Yarrowia lipolytica: one gene and its partners. The protein of the gene in region 1 binds, or shares a complex with, the protein of each later gene. Links are inferred from orthologs where the notes say so. Each region holds a gene or a part of one and is shown on either strand. Other genes may lie near its edges.

Region 1 (7,735 bases):
CAATTATATTAAAAAAGAATCCTACACCTTCTCCATATCCACCAAAGTCATCTAAACACGTTTCCGAATGTCAACTCTTGGAAATCATCTCCACCATGTCTCTGGATTCCGCCAGGATGCGCAGTTCTTTATTGAAACCTTCAAAGTCTGCCTGTATCTTCTGATAGTACTTGGTATAGCACATCGCTCTTGCTCCTGCCCCTGAGAATCTCTCTCCGTGTCTCAAGATACATTTTTGTGAGTCATTTTGGGAGCGAACAATCTCAAAGTAGTGTTCATGAGACATGAACCACTTGTGTTTCTCGTACCAAGTCCATTTCAAAACACTTGGAGATGCCAGCATGATCACAGGTGCATAGTGAAGTTCTCCTTGGTCCATTGTAAGTTGTTCTCCTACCAGAGAGAGATAATAGGTTGATTTGTGGGATAGTGGCGGAGGTCCCGAGATGGAGATCCACGAATTCCATTTATGGTAGTTGTTGAAATCAAACAGAATGGCCGAAACCGACTCTGGAGAAGCGTCAATTGTGATTTCAGTGCGAATGGTGACAGGCATGGGGGTGAAGAAAAACATACACATGGTACGACTGAACTGAGGGGTATATATTGACGATCATTGAGCCGCTTGCGAGTATAAAAGGTCTCTGGTTTCGTAAGGTATGTCATCGTTTACATTCCACTAAAGCGGCTGATCCAGACCGTACAGTATGTACCCGTAGTATGTACAGTAGTGTCAATATCTTGCCAACGCAATCAGACGTTAGATTTGGAGCTGATAGACTGGCACTTAATGACAATAGGGGAGAATAAAGCCGTCAAAATTGAACTCATAGTGTATAATTTTCCACTGCTTATTTTACACCTCCTTGATGTCCACAAGATACCCTGCCTCCCATTCCGATGCGTGACCATGTAACACGAGAAACCCATACAAACAGCACAGAGAATATCACCAGTCTTCACCTACCACCAGTTCAGGTGCTGTAAAGAAACGGGTGGCAAACGTCTCAAAAGTGTCCAAACGATATTGAGTGGCAATTCTGAACCAATAAATAGTACCATTTAAGATGTGACGTTGTTTGTATATACAACTGAATTTGAAGTGTATAGCCCTGCTTCGAAAGATTTTTTTGAACAATTGAGAAGTAGACGAACAAGAGAGAGTTGATACTCTGATAGCTGCCAACCATTTATACCCATTGTATCCTTTAGAGCTCCCAAAAAGCTCCCCTCTGGGATATTTTATCCTCCCTCATTCTCAGAGCTATTAATAGCAAGGTTGGAGATACGACACCATGGTCCAAAAATAGTCCAATATCGTTAAAACGTTTTCGGCACAGCCACAGCCGTGTGGTTCCTGGACGCGTTACATTAAACAAATGATTCATCTGTTGACAACAATCGACTATATTCACGGAGATCGGAGTTGCTTTTACTCCGAGCAACCTGGACTAATTACTGCATACAATAGATGAACTTGTATTGGATCTACCGATACTGGTACAGTATGTACTTGTACTATACAGAAAACACCTACTTCTGCTTAATCTCACCCTCCTCAAAAAGCCGGTCCACCGCCTTACCCAATCGCTTGATAGCCTCGTCGAGCAGATCGGGATCCTCATAGGCAAAAGTGAGTCGAATGAACTTGGCCGTTTGACGCAGCTCTTCGGAAGCAGCCATATTGGATCCAGAAACAATCAGAACTCCTTCCTCGATTCCAAGCTCCACCAGTCGCGACTGGTAGGGAAGAGTGACGCCATTAAACGACGAAGACGCAATCTTATCAAAATGAACAAGCGCAGACACAAACATACCACAGACAGGCGTGATGTAGGTGATCTTGGACTGGTCGAGCTTGTCCAGCTGGGCTAGAAGGTGGTTTCGTCGCTCCAGATACTGGTTTCGCAACAGAAGACACCAACGCAACCAGCCCTCAAGACCCCAAGAGTGAGCAATGTTGTTGATCAGCAGCTGAGAAACGCCGGAAGCGGCCCGGGTTGAAAGAGAAGTGTATAGAGATAGCTTCTCAATGAAGTTGACGTGACTGACAATCCACCCAAGTCGAAGTCCCGGAGAAAATACCTTGGAGAAAGTGTCAATTCGAACAACCAGTCCTACATCATCAATGGTGAGGTAAGAGGGAGCGATCAAGGAGGTGTAATGGTCGATATCAGCCTTGGAGATGTCGGATTCACGTGCCTCAGAGTCGACAGACTCGTCATGAGCCTTCTCCGGAGTGTTCAGAGACTTGGAGGAGTTGCCGTTGGTGAATTTCTTGTTGTAGGACTCGTAGGCCAGGGCTCCGTAGGGATCATCTTCGATGATGACGATCCCATGTTCTTTCAGAACAGCATAGATTGCTTTACGTCTCTCCAGAGACTGGGAGACTCCGTAGGGATTCTGGCCAGAAGGAACACTATACAGAACTCGGGGTTTGGGTCCCTGCTTGGCCTCATCCCAGTTTTCAAGGATCCGTTTGAGACCAGTCACGTCGAGTCCCTCGTCATAATCTAGCTTGATGGGAACAAGAATACCTCCGACAGATTTAATGTTGTCAAAGGAGGGAGAGAAGCAGTACTCCTCAACAAGGACATGGTCTCCAGGGTTAATGAGCAGGTCCACGGCCTTGTGAATACCGTCTCCACCGCCATTGGTGATGATCACGTTCCAGTCCTTCTCGTCCAGCTTGGGGGGATGGAGGCGCTTGGTGAGGGCCGTCACAAATTTCTTGAGCTGCGGGTGACCATCTTGTTCGCCGTACTGGAGAGATCGCTCGAGAGTCAGCTGGCCGCCATTGCCGTTTGTCGCAGTTTCCAGCGACTCGGCAAACTTGAGGATCTTGAGGTTCTGGCTCAACCGGGTGCTATTCTCGGTGATGTCGGGGAACTCGACCAGTCCTGGCTTGGAAAACAGAGTCGCAGCAGGCACAAATCGAGGTCGGGGATTGGGACTGGTGGTCAGATTGACGGTGATCTCGTCAATGGGGAACCCAATGGGGTTGGGAAGACCTCCAGAGATGAAAATCGGGTTGGAATGGGGTTTGGTTGTCTTGGCCGTCTGGTTGAGCGTGAAATGGGAATGAGACCGGGCCTTTGAACGGTCAGAAATGAACTTGTCGTGGAAGGACATGCTGGAAACAGTGATGATATAGTTGGTGTAACTGTAACTGTACGTGCTTTCAAAAATGTAGCTGAATGAAGCTGTCTACCTGGGGACCGGAATCAGAAAATGACAAATGGGGGCCGATTGAGTGGATTCCGTGACTGTTGTTTGTGTAACCGCGTTGTCTGTGTAACCGCGTCGTCTGTGTAACCGTGTCGCTTAGATAACCGCGTTGTTTGTGGTTTGTGTAACTAGATTGGAGTTTCTCTCTCCCTCAATTGGCGCCAACGTGTCTCCGGCAAACAGGTGGCTTATAAAGACACACAACAAACGGCATCATTACAAATAAGGTTGTTATCAAACCGACTATCGGAATCCGAAAATGTCAGAAGCGGGGTAATACCTCCGGGTTAACTGCTGTAGGGATGAAAATGAAATTGTAGACTAATTGAGACACAAAGTTTTGAAAAAACGTGTCGGTTTTATCACAGCTCGCCAGAAACACCATTAATGAGACTTATTCCGTCACCAAAAGCCACATGCATGATAAGGTAACCTGCACTGCGGGTGACGTGATCCTGAAATGGAAAGTATATCCGTGGGGTGAACGGGGAAGGATATTGCGATTCTGACCGTTCCAGTTTATTGGCACCAACACCAGGATCACGTGGTTTGTTTCAACATTCTTGTAGGACCAAAACTCATCCTGTGACACCACTCCATTGTAAGATGGATTAGATAAGCCCAGTTGAACTCAGAAATGTGGCAAACGACATTATTGTATCTTAGGAACAACATTTCGGGGGTCTCGGACATCCAAGCCACCTAAGAGGGAGTATTGGGGGTGATTGGTACGATCTTCGGAATCGGTTGTCTGTGCTGGTGATGGTTTTTTTTTTTTTTTTTCCCCCTTTTTTTTTCCTTTTTTTTTTCTTTCGATTCGTCGAAGAAGGAATATGAACTGGAAAGGTTCCCCAATTGGAACAGTGAGTATATCGACTACGCTGATTCTGAATGGATAGCCGAGGTATAGGTGACGTGCGTACTACGTTTTCCACAAGGTCCGTCTGAAAGCTGTGGTATTTTTGCAAGTAGAGAATGGAGTAATGTACTCGTAACTATTGTTCCAACTGGAGTATCCGTTTTAGTTGTTAGTTAGTTGGAACTGAAAATGTCATGGAAACCATCATAAATAGTAATTTTTCGAGAAACTAACACTCAGAAAAAGTAAAGAGAGTATAATTAGCGATATTAACCGTTTTTTCAGAAACAAAATTGCCCTAAATATACCAATATCACCGACTGGTAGTCCCCTTCCCATCGTGCGGCTCATCAATTAATAAGCTTTCCAACCCGACCATGCAGCTTTTGTATCTCAGTCAGTTTTTCAGACAACAGCACAATGACGACTTATCTGAGCTTGGGACTGGAAGGCAGCGCCAACAAACTGGGGGTGGGCGTAATCAAACACACGGTGACGGATGCCAACGCCGAAAACGGCTTTTCCACCGACATTCTGTCCAACATTCGAGACACCTACATCACTCCTCCAGGCGAGGGATTCTTGCCACGAGACACAGCTCGTCACCACCGAAACTGGGTGGTTCGAATCATCAAACGGGCACTCGACGAGGCCAAGATATCCGACCCTACAAAACTGCATTGCATTTCGTTCACCCAGGGTCCCGGTATGGGGGCTCCTTTGCAGAGCGTGGTGATTGCTGCACGAACCATTGCTCAAATGTGGGGAGTTCCGCTTGTGGGCGTCAACCATTGCGTGGGACACATTGAGATGGGCCGAACTATCACGGGCGCCACAAACCCCGTGGTTCTGTACGTCTCTGGAGGAAATACACAAGTGATTGCGTACTCCAAACAGCGATATCGAATCTTTGGAGAGACTCTTGATATTGCTGTCGGTAACTGCTTGGATCGGTTTGCACGGGTGCTGAAGATCCCCAACGCCCCCTCACCAGGATACAATATCGAGCAGCTAGCCAAGAAGGGCAAAAAGTACGTTCCATTGCCATACACCGTCAAGGGCATGGACCTGAGCATGTCTGGTGTGTTGCAGTTTGTGGAGTCTCTGGCAAAGCGGTTTCAGGCAGGAGATCTGGTGGTTGATGGACATCAGGTGACCGCCGAAGATCTGTGCTTTTCGCTACAAGAAACGCTCTTTGCCATGCTCGTCGAAATCACTGAAAGAGCCATGGCCCATGTCAACTCTCAGCAAGTACTTATTGTGGGAGGTGTTGGGTGCAACGAGCGACTCCAGGAGATGATGGGAATCATGGCACGTGACCGAAACGGCTCCGTCTACGCCACCGACGAGCGTTTCTGCATCGATAACGGTATCATGATTGCCCATGCTGGTCTTCTGGCATGGAGACAGGGCTTTGAGACGAAAATGGAAAAGACCCAGTGCACTCAGAGATTCAGAACTGACGAGGTACTGGTAGATTGGAGAGTTTAACACACACTCACAAGGAGTATGTATGGTATATATAAGTGTAATAATACACTGTAACGAGTACATGACGGTATGTACCTGTATTTAATGGTCGTGACTTTGATCATTGTATTACATTAGCTACAGTATTGCTTTTTTTTGCGAGTTTGGAGCTTTACAACTCATCTCGAATGGGAACCTCCTTCTGTTCGGGAACACCGCTGTCAGGAAGAGTATCGTCCAGAGGCTCAGACACAACTGGAAGCTCCAGGTCTATATCTGCTGCAATGGTAGACGACAGTGCCGTTTCCAACGTCTCCACCAAGGTATCCACCAATGTTTCCATGCCCACAGACGGAGTAGCTTCCACCACTGTATCGACTAACGTGTCAACCAACCCCTGCACAGGGTTACCTGGGTTTTTGGGAATCTTAGGACCACTTCCTCGAACGATTCCAAACAATTTGAGAAGGGGCCATGTGATGATCATCAGGGGGAGCTTCAACACCCGTCTGTATAGAATCCACGCCACCACAAGCGCCAAAAATCCCATAGAAGCCATCATTAGAATTCTGTCCTGCTTGTCAGCCTGTTCAAGATGTCGAACCAGCTTCTTGGAGCCTGCCAAAAGCACGTCAAAGGTGGTATACTTTTGCTGCAGCATCTGCATGTCACGCGACGATTCGTCCAGGCTCTCTAAGTGCATTTCTCCTCTCAGAACATTCTGAGAAGCCAGTTGATGAACCCGCTTGAGCGATTGAGTAATATCACGAGACTTGTTGAGCACTGCCTTTTCGCTGGCTTCCTCCTTGACTTCCTTGCGGCCCTCAAACAGCATTTGTCGTTCCTTGAGCAGCGATTTCTCCACATTCTTTGCACTGGTCACCTGGGCCTTTCGGTACAGCACACGCAGGTTGGCGATTTGTTCCGTATATGATTCGAGTGCGATCTGCGACGTCGTGTCTTGAGGGCATGTGGCCTTGTATCGTGCGAATTCCGTGTCCAGATCACGCAGTTTGGTCTGGATGAGGTCGGCCAGCTCTTGACGGACGTCTCGAGACGCCAGAGAGTGTGTACCAAACCGCTGAAGCCGTGAGATGAGTGACAGACATGTCTCAATAAGGGGATCGAGATTGGACATGGTGAATGTGACGAGTTGTGTGTGAGCTGTGTGTGAGTTGTGTGTGAGTTGTGTGTGAGTTGTGTGTGAGTTGTGTGTGAGTTGTGTGTGAGTTGTGTGTGAGGTACGCGTCGTTTAGTCGTTCAATGTGTCCTGTTGAGCTCAGGAATCCGTTTGTATCGTTTCTGTGTCACTTAACCAAACTATCCACGTGTCAATAATGCGAAATATTGTAGGAATGGCTGTTCTGTGGATGTTCTGAGGCGTGTGTCAAGAGATCCACTTGGTGATGTTGCTGCGTGTCAGAAGGTTATGTGGGGAGGTACTGTTCCTGTGGAGTATAAGTAGAGTAGCAACTGAGTGTGGAAGAGGAGTGATCTTGCGCAGGTTTTAGGATAGCTAGAAAGATAAAAACCCTCTCGTGAGAATCACAGAGACCTGATTATTAATTATATGTAATAAAACCCACATATTATCACTCAAGTTTGCCTGGTAAAAGCACAATACTTGTCAGTGCTGCTAAGGAGTTAAGCAGTCTGATGGGATGTTTACTTTGGGTGGGTATACTTGTCTACTTGCACATGTACAAGTACTTGTACAGAACAGGCCATGTGATAGTACAACTACGAGAGGATCATATTTCTGTGATAAAAGAACCCAGTTGACACTTCGGCGAACAGCAATGTCCTACTCCTATCTCTCCCTACCTATTCTTACTAAGCAAACCATACTCAGTTCGATTCCCAGTTCTATCCAACTCAACACACCATGTGGGCCAAAAACATCTCGTTCAGCGTCAAGGAAGCGTCACGAAACGGCTTCAAGGAGGCCGAGGCGCTGACAGTCAACTCCAGCGACGCCCAGCAAAAGGTGCTTAACGACATTCTGCTTGCCAGCAACACGCTTCGACAAAAGGTGGAAGAGACACATGTCGTGTTGAGCCAGGCGACGCCCCGAATCAGTGGATCGCTGGAGAAGACTGTTGGTGGAATGAAGAAACCCGATGAGCAGACACATGTACGCCCATCTACAGCTTGATCTCTGAACCGGGGAAGGTAAAT
Region 2 (6,796 bases), on another chromosome or scaffold:
ACCATGGTTGCCATCAAGAACGTCCTCCTCCCCCTTGCAATTGCCTCCACAGCCTTGGCCGCCCCCGCTGTCCACGAGGGTGCTATCCTCGAGGCTCGAGCAAACTCCACCATTGACGACTTCATTGATTTCGGTGGAGTCGTCCTCAAGACTGTCACCTCTACCCTTGACATCATCACTCACCCCGACAAGTCCAAGGGCACCGTCTACGACAACCTGCAGAAGGGTGTCACCCAGATCAACAACCTCTTCCCCACTCTGATTGACGACCTCAAGACTCTGCCCATTGTCGGTGACGTCGCCAAGACCCTTGGCCCTCTCATCATCAACCCCCTTTCCGAGGGCTTCGCCAAGGTGATGCAGCAGATTGCCATCACTATTATCTCTCTGTTCACTGACGGTCCCATCTCCACTATTGGTGACGTCTTCAGGAGCCTCTTCGGCAACTTCCTTGACTTTATCAAGCAGTTCATTGGCTCTATTGCCAACCTCTTCCCCTGGATGCACTCCGAGACTTCTTCCATGAAGTCCGCCTCTAACCGACTTGATCAGGCTTACTTCTCTGCCGCTAACAACTAAGCGACAGATACCCGACGATTCCATTAATTTAATTTATAACTCTACTTCTTACTCTCGGATGCTCGTAGATAATGTAGAAGTATCTACTGTGCAACCCTACTCTGTTTAGATCGACAAACGAGTCAAATAACATGAAGATCAGATGACTACGCCGCGCAAGGCTGTCCCTGAGAGACCGAGGGTGACTTGTATGAAATGGGGACAAAGTGTCCGTTTCTTGTATACTAGTACGAGTACTCGTAATTGAGCAGTTTCAGTGTCTGTTCAATGTCGAGCATCTCTCAGCCGACAACGAAACCTTCGTCTCGTATCATACGACCGAATCGGGGTTTCTGAAAGGCCTAAACTCTGCTGCAATTTGGTGAAAAATACATTTATTATGTATGTACTACATCAGCGGGCTTTACAAGGTGGTTTCTTGTAGAGTCTCTACGAAACAGCTTGTTACAGTACCCTTACAGTATCTCGTTGAAAGCCATTTTTTATCTCTCGTAAGAGTACTCAGAGAAGAAACCATTTATATGCCTCTGGTTGCAAGCCTCACAATGCAATGACAGTATTGCTCTATTGCTCTTGTTTCTCTCAGCTACAAGTACCGGTACCCAGGCAAGGACTCTTCCAAGAGACGATCCCCAAGTATCCCCGGATATCAAGTTTACCAAAAGTCTACAGCCGGTTTTAAAGGTCCGAAAGCAAGCGTAAGACTATTGGGGGTGATAAGAGCACGTGGAAGCTCATAGGCTTCAAGTTTTATAAATCGAACGACTCACACTTGGAGCACATGATTGGATTAGTAATATGCAATGAAATATCCATTTCAACGGCTCTCGTATTGTTCTCTGATCTATCCATCTTATTCCACATTTAATCACATTTAATCACATTTAATCACATTTAATCACATCTTAGTCACAATCCAACAAAGTTCAGGACCTACATGCAACCGTAGAAACGTTTCACACCAATATCAACCATGCCAGGCAAATACACACTGTGAGTAGGAGAATGTGGGGGAAGCCACAACACTCGCTTTGGACACGAACTAACACAGTGACGTGGAGATTCCGTTCCCCAATGACAGACAGGCTCAGATTGTCTGCACCACAATATCTCAGGACAAGCCTCTCAAGGCCGACGAGCTGAGCCATGAGTTGACCACCAAGGGTTCCAGTCTGTTGATTCATTTTGCCGCTGCATCTAACCGGTCTTTGCGAGTCGGTGTCAACAACATGATGGACAACATTGGCACTGCCATTGAGTGTTTGGACGAGCTGGATCTCGACAAGTTTGGACCATAAGTGAGAGATAGCGAGTGAAGATGGAGGGCACTTATGAGGCCGCAGGAGGGGCACGGCGGTGTCAAGCTGGCATACTGGCACCTCAATATCTGGACAGAGTGTGATCATTTCCCTAGCAACTGATTAGTCATCACACAAACGCCGATGTCTGAATAAATTTCCCTAGATTTGCAGCAGTTGTAACTGTCCCTGGACGGCACCAGAGGCAAACCTGCGAACCAGAAAAGGCAAACGTGTAAAACCAATAAACATCAAATAATCAGCTAGTTCGGGTGTGATATCAAGGACCAATGGTGTAGAACCGTTAACAAAAACAAGTACAGGTATGTCGTGTGTGAGTGAGCATTGTCATGTTGCATGCCACCTGAGATAGGTGAGGAAGACGCAGATCTCATTGCAGCCATGTCTCAAGAACTGATCAGACAGGGAGGCCATTCTTGTTACTCATTTTAAAGCATAATGACCAACGCCGTCTCCAAGACTAATTGAGATTGTTACTGTAGACTAATTTACGGTGGCAATTTCACAGAAATTACGGCCTTCCCTTTGTGGGCGTCCCAACTGACTAAGCAATCGTAAGCGCAGTTGTGTATGTAATCCTAACTAAGGTAATTTATATCACTCAGCATACGTACATTACGACCAGCAGCAGCCAAGACGGAAATATTGCACCCCGCATCGCACTCTCCGTCGCCTACTCACCACCCTAGCCATCATCCCAGAGAATGCGGCGAATGAACGCATATAATGGCCAACAATAAAGAGCGAAAACGAAGCCACAAGAAAACGCCGAATCAATCCGTGTCTTCCGCACAGTCTGAAACCGCCAAACGTCCCGCCAGAAAGAAGTCGCCCAAGCCCTCCACGCCGGCGTCTCGCAACAAGAAACCCGTCACCGAAGGTTCCGTTTCGAAACCCGCAAATCGACCCAACACCGCCAATGGCAGACGCGGAGATCGGGAACGTAAGCCCTCACCATCTGTGGTGTCACGAGGCTCAGCAGCTGCGACTATGACTATGACTCCTGAGCCTAGCAGCGTGCCTCTGCAGCCCTGCCAGGTCACCCCGGCCATCCATTCGTCGCATCTGACCGTGCCTTCTGCGCTGACAGAAGATCGAAAACCGACACCCAAGAAACGCCGGTCGAGAGATACAGCCTCCAACCAACCCAACAAACGAAGTGAAGACATGCGGGAAGAGCAAGACAATGATGCCACCATGTCCTCCCCGACCGCAAGTACCACATCCACTGCCTCTATGATGAGTACTCCAACTCCCACACCTGCATCTCCTGCCAGGTCGGCTGTCCACCAGGAACTTCAAAACATCTACCACCGAGTGTGCCAGCTGGAAGATCAGTGTGGACGACTTATGCAGAAACTCGCACAGGAGATTCCTCAGAAGGACGAACCATGCATCACACAGCATACTGACATTCGTCAAGAGCGTCTCAACCGTCTACTGGCAGATGCCACTAAGCGGCATGCTGCTCTACTGGACGCCCACTACGATTTCCTTCGAGCAGCTCACTACAACGACTCTACGTCACTTCGTGGACTGGTCAACAAGTACGACATCCCTAGCAGACTGTGGTCCCGAGGAGTGTATGCCTTTGTGCACATTGCCCGGAACCTGCAGCCTTACGCGGCCCGTTACCTGAATGACCACCTGAGACACTGTGCCCAGACACTCCTCTTGTTAGCAGAGCCCTACTTTGACCGTGAAGCTGACGGCAAAAATCTTCCCTCTTGGACCGAAGCTGTTGGGGATCTCGCTCGTATTGGCATGTCTGTTCGAACAGATGATGCCGTTTACTGGCGTGGAGTAGCCCATTGGTGGTACAGCCGAACTCTTCTCACATACAACGACAATGGGCGGCCTCACCACCACTTTGCTCTAGTACTTGCATGCCGTCTGGAGTCATTATTGTCTCTCTGTCGTGCCACACTTTGTATGGTTCCGTTTGCACCCGCTTCTAATACAATGGATGCCCTGTTCAACGCTGGGGCAGCCAAGATGCAGCGACAGGGCGAACGCGAACCCCTCGAGGTGGTCGTGGACTCCTTCGTCTCCGTTCATGAAGGAGTCACCAAGGGTCGCTTTCCCAACATCCGTCAGAAGCTCATTTCCTTGGGCGCTGTCATTGCTCGAACTCCAAGCCCCTTCTTGGCATCTCGATCTGCCATGTTCGCTGCCATAAACATTGCTGGCTTGCATGAGTATGGTCGGGGAGCTCTAGCTGGAGTGTGGAGAAACAGTGTGGACGAAGAAAACGTTGTTGTTCCCAGTCCGAACAAATATGTTGCATTTCACATTCTTCGTGCCCATCTAGCTCTCACATCGGATAAGGCTCTTCCTCACATTATTCCCTGGCTGCTGTTCATGTTGGCTCTAACCAAACACCCCAAAGTGTTCCTCGAGGTGCTCGACCATAGGTTCCCTTGGAAGGATATGCTGTGGTATCTCAACGAGATCCAGCGTAAAACTGCCCGAGTTCCTGTTGACAACAACGACACAACTGGGTCCAATTTTAATTTCAAAAAGGCCCCTCCCCCTCGCGAACTCCCCCCAGCTCCCAAGGGCTATGTTTCCAAACTCCCCGAAGAGCTGCTTCTACGAGGCTTCTCATGGGCCAAAGAGGTCTTGTCTTGTCCTTTTGACAGTGATACTCAAGACATTGTCAACACCATGTCTCTGGGTGGCCAACTGGACTACACTCTTGGAGAATGTACTAGGCTCGAGCGTGCTCAGGATCTCATCAGACAGCTATGTGATACTCGACTGTTAAAACTGGGTGATTCCGGTCTTGAACAGGATCCCGAGCTGACTTCTTGTCTGGCATCCAAAACAGAAGCTCCTGACTACATCTCCGAGTACGAAGCATACCATGAGTTTCTGCCCGATATTGGTGGAGAGAGCTCGTCAGTGACTTCTGATGACATTCAATCATTGTGCAAAAAACGAGACATGGTGCGCCAGGAGTGTGGCGTTCAGTCCAAGATTGAAAACCTGGAACTGACCACTTCGCCTCTGGCAGGTGAACGAAAGCCGGCCATTATTTTCGATACCAATCTATGGCTGAACGAACTGGAGTTCATCGTCACTGTGGTTGAGAGCGGTTGGCTGCGCATCAAAGTGCCTGTTATGGTCATGCACGAGTTGCAGAAACTGCAGACATTTAACCGTGACGTCCGAACGAGCACCCTAGCGCAACAGGCTCTGGCCTATATCAAGTCCAAGGGCCAAGGATCGAGTCTAACCATTGTTGGTCTCGATGGAGCTGCTCTCAACGAGCAAGCTTGTGCCGAAGGTGTTGTTCGCTTTACCAACGACTACGGGGGGCTGCCCAAACGTGGCCAGCCTACCATGGATGAGCTCATCACTCGAACCGTTTGCAAGTTGCAAAAGGGCAGTCGTGGGGGCGTTGTTCGAGCTCTGCTTGTCACCAACGACAAGAACATGCGTATCTTGGCTCTGACACAATCTGTGGCAGTGTCCTCTGGTGCCGAGTTCATGAACATGTACGGAGAGGAATCTGGAGAACGCCGCAACGAGACTCCTGGAATTCGATCCATGCGAAGCAGAAAGAGCGAGCTCAGTGTATAAATAGCTAACTTATTGGTATTCCATATCACATCCGTCGACGTAGTTCTTCTCATATCCTTATACTACTAGTAGAAAATCGTACTGAAAAAAAAATATCATCGCATTACATTGGTATATTTTATTACTGTCATTGCATCATGTATCTATAGTTTTTTTTTTGTCATCCCCTTACCAAGTGAGCTTGAGAGCGTCGTACTTGAGCCGATCTGCGTCAGTGACTGAAGGTCGGATCTTGTTGAAGGCTTCCTCAAAATGGTGGTTAGTAATCTCAATGCTGCTTGGAGGAGCTGCCTTGTGATCGTGAATTATTTCAGCTCCATGGGTGAACACTTGCTGTCTGAGAGCCATGAGACCAGCCTCGTTGGCCAGCTGGGTGAGATCGGCACCGGAGTAGTTTCCACATCGAGAGTCCGCAACGATGTTCCGCAAGTTGACATCAGCAGCCAGGGGTCGCTTTCGACACACCTTCGACAGAATTTCAAACCGTTCATTCTCGTCGGGCAAGCCCACAAACAGAGTCTTGTCCAGACGACCGGGTCGAACCATGGCGGGATCAATAATATCTGGTCTGTTAGTGGCAGCGATAACGTACACACCTCTTCGCTCAGTGAGACCGTTAAGCTCGGTAAGAAGAGTGTTGACAAGTCTGGAAGAATGCTCGGATCCGCCGTCGTCTCGTCGAGGAGCCAGAGAGTCAAACTCATCAAAGAAGATAATGCAGGGTGACGATAGAGCAGCTCGCTCAAACACCTGTCGGATAGCACGTTCACTTTCACCCACGTACTTGTTGAGAAGCTCGGGTCCTCGTACAGAGATGAAGTTGGCGGCAGTTTCGGAAGCCACAGCCTTAGCAAGCAGGGTCTTACCACAACCAGGGGGTCCCCACAAAAGCACTCCTCCAGGAGCATCAACACCAACCATCTTGAACAGATCCGGTTGTCGAATGGGTTGGACAATGGCCATGTGAAGCTCCTGTCTAACCTGAGCCAGAGCACCAACGTCCTCCCAGGAGACATCGGGAACAGTTGCGAATCCTTCTCGCTTGGAAGAGGGCTGGATTAGAGGAATAGCCATCAGGAAATCATTGAGGGCAATGACCATGTTCTGAAGTTGAGAAGCAGTCAGGGGGTTGGGGAACATTCGCAGGAAATCAACCCAAACAGAAGTATGAGGGGGGTTGGGGAGAGTGATAACAGTAGTGGGCTTGGGGGTCTCAACAGGCGTTTCAACGGGCTCTTCCTTCACATCACCGGCACTTATGCTGTCTGTTTCAGTCTTGACAGCTTCAGTGGGCTGCCCATCTTGGGGGGCAC
Region 3 (6,496 bases), on another chromosome or scaffold:
CCGCGTCCTGCTGGATCAGCTGCGACTTGAGCTCGTCCACCTCGCTACGCAGCAGCTCCAGCTCGCGCTCCATCTCCATTCGCAGTTCGGCAACTTCAGACATTTGGGGGTTCAGTGAGGACAAGCGCAAATCGCTCACTTGTTTGGTCTCGGTTATCTCGCATTAGGCAACTTTAAGTGGGGTATCGTGTGTACAGTACATACATGTTGAAAGATGAGAGAGGTAGAGAGTGAGTGACTGAGTCCCCGAAGACGGGGGAGAGACGGCGGGGGTCATTTATAGTCATGAGATCTCATTTCCTCACCTCAAATCACATCACGTGACTACATCTCTTGCATCGGCGGCTCCTAACCAGTCCGTCGTCTGGGTGTTCTTCACTACTTTCCAGTGGGTAAATAAGCTCATTCTACTTAGGGGGTGCGGTCCAGCCTTTTGCTTTCAACTGACTAACACGATTCAACGTGAACTCCCATCTACTTGTACAATTGGCCAGCTCCGGCGGACGTACGGCAACTACAAGTAATTAGATTCATACCAATCAACTAAAAATACAAATATTCACTGTCTCTCCGTCTTCTGGCCCATCTCTACTGCGTTTTCTTGTCCTGGGCAGTATGTTTGTTAGCCTTCAGAGCTGCTCCCAACTCGGTCAACACCAGAGTAGCCAGCAGAATGCCCACCAGGTAGAGAGACATGTCGCCATGGCCAGAAAACTCCCACGATGCAAACGCAATGTAGACCACCTTGGTGGCGAGAAAAATGGGCTTGGGGATCTTTATGGCCGTGGTCACAAAGTTGGCCGGGAAACACGCCTCCGTCACCAGTCCTCCGACGTACATAACGTGCAGAAACATGGTGAAGAAGGCCAGTCCAAGCTGCTTGTCGGACAACACCTCGGCAATCTGGCCCATGGGCCAGGGAGCGCCCAGAGCGACCAGTACACCGGCAACACCGGCGACGGAGTAGTCAAAGTCTGTGCCCAGAGGGCCTGCTGGTGGCGGTTGTCGCGGGATCATTGTGTGTGTGTTGATAGGTGCAAGTTTGACAATTGATTTCCACACTATAAAATTATCGTCGCGCGCCGTGGAGATACTGCACCTCCAAGCACGTGGGTATGATAGATGAGGAAGAATGCATTAGTGCTGACAGTGGCAGGTGGTGTGGACGTAGCACTGTTGGAGAAGGGTTTTTTCGTTATAATACGTCTACTGCAACTATAGTGCTTATAGTGAATTGTTGTGTGTGATGTCTCAATCATTGTAAACGGTTTATATATATAGTTATATATATACTGTATTATAATTTCTGCATATACATTCAGTTAATTATAACTTTGCTTTGAAAGAATAACCTTTTTATATACATTTTGTTACTACTGTAGTCACCCAGCTTAGTTGGGAGTTGTGTGCTTACTTGACATGATACTTCATGAAAGCTGTGACGAAACAGAGTCGGTAATTGAGTAACTGAGTCACTGAGTAAGTAGAAACCGCCATTCAAGTCATAATTGAGTCCTAGAAATCTTTTCTGACAAGAATCTAGGGAAAAAACCACTCACCTGTCATACAAACAATGCCTGTTAAAGATCTTCTAACCATCGTCCCCAGATCCACTACGTGCATGCATGCACCACCTAAAGTGAAATAAATCTCGTTCATTAATACTGTTCTCTCAAATCATCACCATCATCCTAAACACAACATGACAACCAGAGCTGCTCTGGAGGAAATGGAGGTGATCGAGGCCGGTATTGCCGAGCGACTGGCCTTCAACCCGCTCATTCTGCCTCCTTCACAGGCCCTGACCCCCAACTCACCTCTCCAACCGAGACTACAGAAGCTGAAAAATGTGCCCTTCACACGACAAGTAGGCACCCCCACAACCCACAGGCAGACAGTGCTGCGCCAGCACGAGATTGCCACGATGCTGGATACGTACCAGAAGCTGGCTCGACGGCTCAAGGCCGAACTCGACGCCCCCAGAGGCAAATCTGGGTCTCGAAATCTGTCTTCCAAGGAACTCAAAGGCGTCATGACGGACTTTTACGCCAAAATCGACAAGATCAAACAGACACTGGTGCCCGGAGAACAAGCTCAAGATATGTACGCCAACTACACTCTCAAACGACCGGCTCTAGACGTGTTTGAAGACGACGGAGAACAGGAGGAGAGCGTTATGAGCCAGGCTGAGAGCAACACGCTTCCCTCAGGCATTTTCAACACAGCTCGAAAGATCAATTTTGGCCAGAAATACACAGACGCCGAAAACTCGGGCAGATACCTCGACATGACCCCTCTATACATTGAATACCAGCAGCAGAGAATGGGTCATGTGGGATACATTGGATTCATCAAATCCTTTTACAACGTCGACATTTATGACCCCCAGACGTGTGCGGCTCTGGGCAAAAAGTACCCTGTGTTCCTCGAGTCCATCGTCTCGTATTTGGAGTCGTTTATCACCAAGAAGCACATTCTGGAGGACCCTCAGAAGACGATTGACTCGATTCGAAAGTCAATAAAAGTGACTGATTCCAAGCAGGACAAGGAGGAGAACCCTGAGTTGTTCTGTAAGTTCTGTGACAAACAGTTCACCAACCAGGCTGTCTACGACAACCATTTGCCTGGAAAGAAGCATAAGAAGGCCGTTGCCCGAGCTGAGAGTGGTGAAACCCCTACACCTACATCTGCTCCCAAGGCTTCTACTGCAGCCGCTCGGACTCCTGAGACGATTTTGGCCCATCTGGAAGAACTGGCTGAATTCCTGAAGTCGACTATTGACAGCACCGTTGCCAATTTGGAACGGAAGCAAGCGCTGACTAATTCCGAGAGACAGGCTGAAATCGCGGCTCAGCAGGACCAGGACCGTCTTACTGACGAAAACCTCAGATACGGACAGCAGAGCGATGGCTCCCCCTGGTCCAAGAAACAAAAGACTGGAGATGAAGATGACGAAGACGAAGATGAGGTCATCTCCAACCCTCTCAAGCTGCCTCTTGGGTGGGACGGAAAACCCATTCCTTTCTGGCTGTATAAGTTGCATGGTTTGGGAATTGAGTACACATGTGAGATCTGTGGAAATACCACCTACCGGGGCCGAAAGATCTTTGACAAGCACTTTTCCACACCCAGACACATCTTTGGACTCCGATGTCTTGGTATCGAGCCGTCTCAGGCATTTAAAGGCATCACCAAGATTGAGGAGGCCAATGCATTGTGGGACCGAATGAAGAAACAGCTCAAGACGGTGGAGACTCGAGAAGAAAACATTGTCGAGGTGGAGGATAGCGATGGAAACGCCATGAGTGAGAAGACCTACGAGGATCTCAAGCGTCAGGGATTGTTGTAGATAACTTATAGCATAATGTATATTACCTAATAGCGGGAAGACGATGTGTCTGTGCAGTGTGTGAATGCTAATTCCGAACATCTTTCGATGGTACAATATCTGATATACAATCAATATTCATGTTAGGTATGGTTTTGTTGTGATTTTCGTACATAATTCATTACGCAGTCGTCACTTCAACCTAGCATGGACCGCTTTCGTCCTCGCTGTCGAACATCCTCCAGTTTTCGCATCACCTCTTTCTGACTCTTGCCGACAACAGCCAGGTATCCTTCAAACAACCAGTCGCAGTACTGTTGACTGTGGACAGGATGAGTACTGAGAACGGCTCGCTCCATGACATATAGATCCACAGCCTTATCTTCGGCCAGAGTGGACACGGAAGCGAGTCCAAAGTCGATGATGACAGGCTTGCCGTCTCTCAACATGACGTTCGAAGTGGTCAGATCGCCATGGACAATGTCAGATTTATGCAACTTGCCGATTTCTTGGCCGACAAGAACCAGGGTGTCCTTCAGAGAAGACACGTCACCATCCGGTAACGATCTGCTCTTATCTCCGGCCTCCTGGGCCCCTCCTTCGGTGTCTCCCTCCTCGTTCCAGATCCACTGCTTCACACTCAGACCTTCGATCTTCTCCATGTAGATGAGTCCGTTTTTGGCATCGATGAAGACCAGATGGGGCACTTCCACGTCTCCAAGAGCCAGCTTCTGCAACACCCGGGCCTCGGCCAGCGTTCTGTGTTTGCTGAGCTGGGCATCAAGTTCCGGAAGACGATATGGCTTCTTGGGTCTGTATTTAACGATGCATTCTTGTTGGGGGAGGTAGGGGTGCTGGGCGGAATACACCAACGACTCAGCGCCTTGTGCAATGAGATTTTCCTGCTTGGACAGCTTCTCCAGCTGCTCTGGAAGTGTGATCATGATGTGGTGGTGGTGGTTAAGGCTAGGAGACGATATGCAGCTTGATACAATTTATTTCCAGTCATGTGATCAGAGAGAATTTAGACCGGTGTAAAATGGGGTATAGGGGAGATGAGAGAAGAGTTGCAAATGGATATAGGTAATGTTGGATTTTTTGATATCATCAGGTTTTATTGTATTATTTATCTCCCCAGGGGGATATATGGAGTGGACATGTTCTTACTTGAAGTTACTCTATAATATACTTGAGTTTAGTTGACCATTTTTCTCCTGACGACAACAACTATTTGGGTGTGAAGAAGCCTCAAAATGACTGTTTTTCAACATTAATCGAATCAGAATGATATATCCAATATGATCATGTATTCACTAATAGGTCTTCACAGCCAAATATACCATCTTTCAGTGCCTCTCCTGTTCCCAAAAGTGCTACAAGAATCAGAAGTTTCACCCTAACATTGTACACACACTTTCCACCATCCAATGACAATGTCCAGTTTCATAGAACGGTGAAAAATGTCCTAAGGAGCAACAGCGTGCTCTTAGCCCATTTCCCCTTTCGTTTTTCGCCCACAATCCACCATCTCCAGATATACGTAGATTTGTATCACGTGACTTGAGATCATCAGCATGCAGACCCCAGATCTGACTCAGCTCTATCTCTCTACAGCTACACGCAACCCCGGGAAATCATGAACATCCTACTGCTCAAGAACCCTACGACGCCGCGAGATTTCTACCAGGAGCTGTTTGTCGAGCAGAAGGGTCACAATGCTGTTTTTGTGCCTCTTCTGCAGCATTCTCCGGTCGGAATCGAATCTCTCAAAACACACATTGCCAACGAGGTGGATGGTATTGACGCCGTGATTGTCACCTCTCACCGCGCAGTTGAAATCCTCGGAGAATACGCCAGTCCAGAGCTGCTCTGCAAACCTGCATACACCGTTGGTCCGGCTACCGCAAGGTGTCTCCGCGAACTGGGCTTCAAGGACGTTCGAGGAGAAGAGACGGGTAATGGAGCCGCTCTTGTGCCGCAACTGTTGTCGGATGGATACCAGCGATTTGCCTTTTACGCAGGAAAGGTGCGACGAGACACCATCCCCAACAAGTTAAGAGAGGCTGGACGAAGTCTGGTGGAGTACACTGTTTATGAGACTGTTGATCTGGACGACATTGCTGGACGGTTTGAGAAGGCTGTGGGGGCGCTCCCCGACGCCAAGCACAACTGGATCTGTTTCTTTGCTCCCTCTGGCACCGCTCAGATTGTGGAGTATCTCAAAAAGAACCCTGCTCATGGCTTCAAGATTGCCAGTATAGGACCTACCACATTGGACTACCTACAGAAGAATGACATCAAGGTGGATGTGACGGCCAAGCAACCCGATCCCGAGCATTTCCTCGAGGCTATGCTCAGTGAGTCGTGAACAGATAGAGATTGACGCACGTTTGGATGGGTAGAGAGGGGGGGGGGGGGGGAATATGGACTTAATACAGGGAATGTTTGTAACGTGTTCAATTGTAGCAATGGATTGGCATTGTTTGTGAAGGTCTACAATAACAGATAAGTCCACCCGTCTCCTTTATACATTATCTGTGAAATAGTAGCTACTTGTACTCGTAGACTATCTACTCACACCTAACAGTCAATCATAACGTTCATAATATGCAAATAGTTCAATATCCAACCGGCGTGGTTACTCCAGCCCGACCTTTCCAAAGGCCTTGTCCAGCTCATTGACGGGCTCCTCCTCCTTGCCGTCCTCCTCGGTGTCCATCTCCTGCTCCTGCTCCACAGTTTCGGTCCTCTTCTGAGGCACCAGAATTCGGTCCACTGAATCCAGGTATCCAGGAGCAATCTTGCGCTGTTCTTCCCGGGTCTGCTGGTCCACGTTCTCCCGCCAGCTCTGGTATGTCGCTACCGCGGCTCTATGATCCTGCTCCAGCTGTTCCAGCTTCTGACTCAGCTGCCCGAGTGTGTCGAGAATATCGTCTTCATTGACCGCCTGCGGCATGTTGGCCGGTAACGACTTGTACTCGAATGGCAGCGTCACGGCTTGTGGGGGTCGAATCGACGGCGATACAATCAGGGGTACCTGTGAGAGTAGTGGATGTGCTGTGTTAGTAACAAGGGCGGCAAGAGGGGGACTTCCAACTGCAAATCTAGCACAGTACTCACGTTTGGTCATTGGTGTCGAAAATGAAAGACAAGTAGCTATCGTGTATC

What was found.
Region 2: YALI1_C06695g (region 1) and YALI1_F28212g share a complex: the UniProt entries of both Saccharomyces cerevisiae proteins name them as parts of the EKC/KEOPS complex. The link is inferred for Yarrowia lipolytica from reciprocal best matches to the Saccharomyces cerevisiae genes KAE1 and PCC1.
Region 3: YALI1_C06695g (region 1) and YALI1_F13046g share a complex: the UniProt entries of both Saccharomyces cerevisiae proteins name them as parts of the EKC/KEOPS complex. The link is inferred for Yarrowia lipolytica from reciprocal best matches to the Saccharomyces cerevisiae genes KAE1 and BUD32.

Annotation. Positions count from the first base shown.
Region 1 is NC_090772.1:664,993-672,727, forward strand, and holds YALI1_C06695g (uncharacterized protein), read left to right. Parts: upstream 1-4,507; coding exon 4,508-5,578; downstream 5,579-7,735. Other genes in the region: YALI1_C06655g (uncharacterized protein), read right to left, coding at 71-580; YALI1_C06681g (uncharacterized protein), read right to left, coding at 1,534-3,132; YALI1_C06716g (uncharacterized protein), read right to left, coding at 5,730-6,695; YALI1_C06724g (uncharacterized protein), read left to right, coding at 7,443-7,691. UniProt on the Saccharomyces cerevisiae protein: Component of the EKC/KEOPS complex that is required for the formation of a threonylcarbamoyl group on adenosine at position 37 (t(6)A37) in tRNAs that read codons beginning with adenine.
Region 2 is NC_090775.1:2,816,073-2,822,868, reverse strand, and holds YALI1_F28212g (uncharacterized protein), read left to right. Parts: upstream 1-1,552; coding exon 1,553-1,572; intron 1,573-1,630; coding exon 1,631-1,877; downstream 1,878-6,796. Other genes in the region: YALI1_F28222g (uncharacterized protein), read right to left, coding at 1-603; YALI1_F28202g (uncharacterized protein), read left to right, coding at 2,625-5,483; YALI1_F28146g (uncharacterized protein), read right to left, coding at 5,652-6,796. UniProt on the Saccharomyces cerevisiae protein: Component of the EKC/KEOPS complex that is required for the formation of a threonylcarbamoyl group on adenosine at position 37 (t(6)A37) in tRNAs that read codons beginning with adenine.
Region 3 is NC_090775.1:1,302,448-1,308,943, reverse strand, and holds YALI1_F13046g (uncharacterized protein), read right to left. Parts: upstream 4,273-6,496; coding exon 3,526-4,272; downstream 1-3,525. Other genes in the region: YALI1_F13088g (uncharacterized protein), read right to left, coding at 1-103; YALI1_F13079g (uncharacterized protein), read right to left, coding at 589-1,017; YALI1_F13072g (uncharacterized protein), read left to right, coding at 1,703-3,349; YALI1_F13039g (uncharacterized protein), read left to right, coding at 4,965-5,696; YALI1_F13023g (uncharacterized protein), read right to left, coding at 5,967-6,496. UniProt on the Saccharomyces cerevisiae protein: Component of the EKC/KEOPS complex that is required for the formation of a threonylcarbamoyl group on adenosine at position 37 (t(6)A37) in tRNAs that read codons beginning with adenine.